2 linked regions of the Rattus norvegicus genome follow. The protein of the gene in region 1 interacts with the protein of each later gene in a biochemical or structural test. Links are inferred from orthologs where the notes say so. Each region holds a gene or a part of one and is shown in the gene's direction. Other genes may lie near its edges. The genes, in order: Dlat and Pdk2.

Evidence for each region.
Region 2: the proteins of Dlat (region 1) and Pdk2 form a complex in vitro, tested with the Homo sapiens proteins (2 studies listed by BioGRID). The link is inferred for Rattus norvegicus from reciprocal best matches to the Homo sapiens genes DLAT and PDK2.

Annotation. Positions count from the first base shown.
Region 1 is NC_086026.1:59,894,050-59,897,875, reverse strand, and holds part of Dlat (dihydrolipoyllysine-residue acetyltransferase component of pyruvate dehydrogenase complex, mitochondrial), read left to right. Parts: intron 1-2,393; coding exon 2,394-2,520; intron 2,521-3,826.
Region 2 is NC_086028.1:80,468,687-80,471,523, reverse strand, and holds the end of Pdk2 (pyruvate dehydrogenase kinase, isozyme 2), read left to right. Parts: coding exon 1-14; intron 15-474; coding exon 475-588; intron 589-1,099; coding exon of another isoform or gene 1,100-1,109; coding exon 1,110-1,250; 3' UTR 1,251-2,133; downstream 2,134-2,837. UniProt on the Homo sapiens protein: Kinase that plays a key role in the regulation of glucose and fatty acid metabolism and homeostasis via phosphorylation of the pyruvate dehydrogenase subunits PDHA1 and PDHA2.

The DNA of each region.
Region 1 (3,826 bases):
TGAGAGCTGATGTCCTCTTCTGGTGTGTCTGAATAAATAAATAAATTAAAAAAAAAAAAAGATTTGACCTTTCCTTAACCCTATGAGAAGTTTTCTGGGTGAATCAGTTTCTCTCTGGAAATCATGCTCCATTTCTATTGCTAACAATCCCTTATGATGGCATTTTTCTTGGTCTTTAGCTTTCATGGTTATTTCTTTCAGTTCAGCAACCTTATTTTATTGCATAAGACCTCGTTTCTCCATTTTATCCTACTTTGTGTTGAAGTGTTAGAATTGGGCCCTAAGAATCCTTTGAGATGGTAAAGATACATAAATGAGTATATTTCTCCCCACCCCCCCACAGACACATACACACATATACACATACATACACACTCACACACATATACACACTCATACACACAGACTCACACACAGACTCACACACATACTCACACAGACTCACACATACACACACACATACACACTCACACACACACTTATACTTTCACTTACTCACTGGTGATTATGCAACAAAGAAAAGAAACTATGAACCGAAAATAATTTTTAAAGAATTTCTAAGTCTTGCAGGCGTGGTGGTTCACACCTTTAATCCCAGCACTCAAGCAGAAGCCAAACAAACAAAAAACAAACCAAACAAAAACAAACAAAAAACCAGAAAAGAATTTTCTGTCTTGTTTTATTTTTTTCCCCCACTTCTAGAAACAATTTTGACTGAAATGATTTTTTTCCTTACTATAAGGCTATTCCTATTTAAAAGACAAAGAAGATAGCAGATAACTGACAGCCACCCAAATTTAGTGGACACAATTATATAAATAGGAATGCAAGTAAAAACGTATATGTATCAGCTGGCCATGGTAGTACAGGCCTTTAATTCCAGCACACTGGAAGCAGAGGCATGCAGATCTCTGTGAGTTTGAGGACAGCCTGGTCTACAAATTGAGTTCCAAGACAGCCATGGCTGTTATACAGAGAAACCATGTCCAAAATACAAATTTTTTTATATGCATTTAGTGTGTGTGTGGGTACACTGCATTTATCTGTGTAGAGGTCATCGTGGGGGTAAGTCCTCTTCTGTGACCATAGTGCTATAAGGAGCAAAGACAGAGTTAGAGAGCAAGGCTTGTTGACTTCCCTATCTCAAGGAAATGAGGGAGATAGCACAGACTTCTGTACTGGACATTTATGTTATGTACACCTGTGCATATCACACACATACACACACACACACACACACACACACACACACACACACACACGTGCGCGCGCGCAGAGAGAGAGAGAGAGTGTTTTTTGTTTTTTTTTTAAAAAGTCTCAAAAAATATAATGTATTGTTCTTCTAGTCAGCTACTCTTCTACTATTGAACCTCATCCTTTGTTCCAGGAAGAGCTCTAATGTTCATTTTTAAAAATCGTGTGTGCACATGTGTGTCATGTGCATGCTGGTATTCCCAGAGGCAGGATTGGATTCACTGAAGCTGGAGTTACAGGTGGTTGGGAACTGACCCATGGAGACCCAAACTCAGGTCCTGTGCAAGAGCAAGTGTTCTTGAGCACTTAGCCCTCTCTCTAGCCCTTAATTTAATACACACACACACACACACACACACACACACACACACACACACACACTTATTAGGTGTGTGTGTGAAATAAGTGTGGTTTCTTATGGGTGAAAAGATGCTTATTGAAGAACACAACAAATTCAGCAGAGTGCTTTGTCTCCACCAAGATCATTCAACCTATGGGTCACGGCCCGTTCAGGGGCCAAACAACCCTTTCACATGGGTCACAATCAGATATTTGCATATCAGCTACTTACATTAGATTCATAACAGCAAAATTACAGTTATAAAGTAGCAACAAATCTATTTTTATGCCTGGGGGTAACCATATCATGAGAAACTATTAAAGGGTAGCAGCATTAGAAATTAAGAACCAGTGACCTGGTTGCAAAGATTGTGTGTGTGTGTGTGTGTGTGTGTGTGTGTGTGTGTGTGTGTGTAGGGGGGTTGTTTTGACCATATGAAAGAAATCTTTCCTGTCTCCCTGTAGCAGCATTAGAAATTAAGAACCAGTAACCTGGTTGCAAAGATACTGTGTGTGTGTGTGTGTGTGTGTGTGTGTGTGTGTGTGTGTGTGTGTGTGTGTGTGTGTGTGTGTGTGTAGGGGGGTTGTTTTGACCATATGAAAGAAATCTTTCCTGTCTCCCTGTTGCTTTTCACTTTGGAGGATAGAGGATGGGTTAGGGTGTCTGGTTCTGAAGGATGCTTTAATTGGGAAAAGGATTGACAAAGACTTGTGATGGGTGACAAGGTCTCACTGCACTGAATGCTTTTCTGTGTAGTGCTTTCTGGTTAAGCATTGATGAGTGGCATTTGTCTCTGCAGATTGTTCTTCCTGCCCTCTCCCCAACCATGACCATGGGCACCGTCCAGAGGTGGGAAAAGAAAGTGGGAGAGAAGCTGAGTGAAGGAGACTTGCTGGCAGAGATAGAGACCGACAAGGCCACCATAGGTGAGATTCTTCAGCTCTGGGTAGTTGAGGAGGAGGAGGATGGCCATCCTTTCCTGAACTGAGTGAGTGATAATGTGACGTTTACAGTCCTGAGATTTGCTGCCTGGAACATATTTTACAGCAAAGTCATCACAGCCACACATGTCAGTTCTGAGCTGTACTCATCGCTGGAGGATATGTCAGGGTCTATTCTTAGGCCCAGTTCGCTCTCATGGCTATATTTTTATGGTACTCAGAAGTTGTACCAGAACTGCCATTGTCTTAACATGGGAAAAGAAAGAGAGAGGAGGAAGAAAGTTACGCCCTCTAGGGCAGGAGAATACCAAAGCCTTTCAGGTAATTCTGAGAGAAAACAGTACCCAGGGTGTAGATGAGTCTCATAATCTGAAAGTGACAGGGATGTTGGTCTTCATGTGTATCACAGTTCCATGTGCCCCTTCATTGATTTATCCACTATGCAGTCATGTATCTGTGCTTGCGTCTATTGTAATCCTAGGTGTCATTAACTCCTTCCACTCTTCCATGGTTTCTAGAAGCAGAAGGCTTATCTATGCCATAGTGACAGAGCAGGACATCATCATCAGGCAGTAGTGGTCACAGACAGTGCTCTTCACCATTCTCTTGGTAGCCTAGGGCAAGTGCCAATCAAAGAGTAAGACCCCTTCTCACTAGCTTATTCTTTGACATACTGTACTTTTTAATAGTCTTTTTCTCCTCCTCTTCTTCCTCTTCCTCCTCCTCTTCTCTTCCTCTTCCTTCTCTTCCTCTCCTCTTCCTCATGCTCTGTCTCCTCTTCCTCCTCCTCTTCTTCCTCTTCTTCCTCTCTTTCCTCCTCTTCTTCTTCCTCCTCTTCCTCTTCCTCCTCCTCCTCCTCCTCCTCCTTTTTTCTTTGAGATGAGACTGAAGTTCAAGTGCTGGGATTACAGGCGTGTACTACTGTGCCTGATTCCCTCATAGCTATTAGAAGAAATGATTCTGCCTTAAAGGAAAAGCAAGGGCCAGCGCCATGGTTTGGTGTGGTCAAAGGTGCTTGTTGCCAAGCTTTAGATGTGCATTTCCTCTGCCCAGCTTCAACACATCTTCTCTTGAATATTTCCAGTTTGGAAGTGGAAGGAATCTTTAGAGATGTGTCTGTCCATCAAGAAGTACATAACTGCAGAGAGCAAGATTGGGGTGGTGGAACTTGCCCTTGTCAGTAGCTTGGTTTTGCCATTTTTAGTTGAATTAAATTAATTAGTAAGTTTCTGAGACAGGGTCTCACTCACCGTGGATGGCCTGGGACTCACAAGAGATCTGAGTACTACCA
Region 2 (2,837 bases), on another chromosome or scaffold:
GGGGTACCCCGCTGGTGAGACGGCTTCTTCCCGTCCTCTGACTCCTGCTTTTTCAACTCCCAAGCATACTACCCCCCACCCCACATGGCTGTGTGACAACAGTCTCCTGTTTCGACTCTATGGCCACCCATCTCCCCGCTTGCTAATAGCCCCCCCGCCTGCTGATCATCTGCCCATCTGCTGAGCTGTCATGTGTCTTCAGTCCTCTCTCCTCGTTCTCCACATCATTGCTAGTTGCTGTCACCTCTGTCCCTGCTCCTGTGAAACAGGCGGTCCTGAGCTTAGGGAATGGACTCTAAGGAGCTTTTAACCACCCAGACCTCTGGGTAGACCTCTCCTGTCTCTCCCTGCTTCCTCTGCAGTCCCCCTGCCTTCCACCTACTCCCATCTGCTTCGGAGATGTCCCTTCTCCACCCCTGCCTGTCCTCAGTCCAGCATCCCTGACTCACTGTATGACCTGTGGCCCCTCTGTAGGCTGGCTTTGGGTATGGACTCCCCATTTCCCGCCTCTACGCCAAGTACTTCCAGGGGGACTTGCAGCTCTTCTCTATGGAGGGCTTTGGGACAGATGCTGTCATCTATCTGAAGGTGAGGCCCGCCAGGGGGCAAACTTGCTGCTAGCAGGTCTCTACCCATCCCTCATCCTTCCTGGCCCCAGACTCATAGCTGAGCCTTGGCTCCTCGAGTGCTGTAACTTTAAACTAATATGGTGGGCAACTTCAGGGGGTCCAAGGTCTACGAGGAAGGCCCCTTCTTCTGAGGAGCCATGGGCTAGAAGGATGGGGGACCTTACAGATCTTGAACTTCAGTTGAGAGGAAGTGTGCCTTGGTGTTAATAGGGGTCACACAACCCAGCCTCCTCCCCTTGATCCTTTTTACCTCCCTGACCTTTGAGGGGACGGCTTCATGGAATGGGCCAGGGCAAGACACAGAAGGCTCAGACCCTTTTAGGGGATTTTCTGGGCCTGGGGCAGTGTCTCAGATAATGTCTGATTATGGGGCTTAGACTTGAGTTACGACTCCGGGGATGGAGACCATCAGGGCCTGGGTGACTGAAGGGCAGTAAGCAGGGCCTGGGCAAGCAGGAGGCTGATGGCAGTGCTCTCTAGGCCCTGTCCACGGACTCAGTGGAGCGCCTGCCTGTCTACAACAAGTCTGCCTGGCGCCACTACCAGACCATCCAGGAGGCCGGTGACTGGTGCGTGCCCAGCACAGAGCCCAAGAACACATCGACGTATCGGGTCAGCTAGGGGCCTTCTCTTCCTGGCACCTGGGAGGATGCTGCCACCTCTGAATCCAGCCACCACAGGGACTTCCCTATCTATCCCCTGGGGTACGGGGGTGAAACTGGGTCTCCCCGATGGCCAGATCTGTCTTTGTAGAAATCGCAGTGGCCCATCTGTGGCGATCCCTAAGTGCCAATCTGTCTCTATGGAGAAACCTAGGGGGTTTCCCTGGAGCCTGGTCTCCATGGTGATGATGCTTGAGGGTTGGGGACGGCTCTACCTGGTGGGGTGCCCCAGAGACACTTCTCCCAAGACCAGAGCTGTCTGTTTTCTACCAGAAACCCTGGGTCCCCCTCACTGCCTGCATAGTCCTGGTCTCCCACGTGGCTGCCTCGCTTGCCTTATGCCCACACCCTGTACAGGCACATTGGGCTGGTTTCTTCGTCAGTAGTAAGAAAGATGGAGAGAGACTGGGGAAACGGGGGCCAACCTTGTCTCTGGTCCTGCAGCCTCTCTCCATCTCCACTCTGGACACTAAAGTTGCCACTGGGAACTTGAGAATGGGTGGCCGTTCTCACCCAAGGCCCACCGAGAAGGCCTAAGAGTAACCTGTCCCCAAGGCGATCTTAGCAATGTTTCTGCCGCTTCCTGGCCTGGCATGTCCTCACGTGTATACCTCCCCTGCCCAGTCTACGCTCACCCTATCCCTGCTTGAGCTTTAGACCCCAGACTTCCTATGCCCACTATGTGTGCACAGACGACTCAAACCCAGGATGCCCCATGTACATAGCCAGTTTTGTAATCTCAGATGCCTCACCCTTGCCCTCCGCACACAGGGGTTAAAGCCGTGTGCCCCTCCCAGTGGCTGGGATGGTGACAGTGACATCCACAGTAAATAGATGAAATGTGACTGCTGCCTGGCTTCCTTGCGGAGGGGAGGGGATGTCCATACACAAAGCACCTGTGAGGACTGACTCCTCAGGATCTGGCCAAGCTGGTGAGCAGAGCATGCCACCAGGCTGGGCCATCCACTCACTCACAACACCTGGCACCCTATCGCCCAATGGCACTCAAGGAATCGCTTAGTCCCGTGTCCCAGACAGAAAGATCACTGGTGTGTGGTAAGTATTTATTGAAAGAAGTTGATAACCATCTTCCCCCTTCACATGCAGGTGGGCACACTTGGCTCCTGACGGCTTCAGGGACAGTCGGGCCTCCACCCTCCCCACCCAGTCTAGGAAGTACCAATGCCCCTATACCTTAGTTTCCCTCTGAGGCCCCACTCCCAGTGCAGATGACTGAGCCCAAACACAGGGCCCTGGCCTTCAGCCATTTTCCCAGGCAGGAGAGAGGGAGTTAGCATGCAGGTCCTGTCCACCCCTCCAGGAAACTGGGAGGGGTGGGGGTTTCTCATCAGAAACCTGGGCCCAGTAGTAACTGACCAGCACCCAAGAAGCTGGGTCAGCATGACACCTGGACCCTCTTATCTCTGAACACATCCTACAAAGGACACGTGCCAGTCCCATCCAGGACTGGCCCAGTCCCCCTCTGTAGCCTAGCAAACCTAAGCCAGCAGTATGTCCACTGTAGGCCTACTGAGGCACCTGGAAA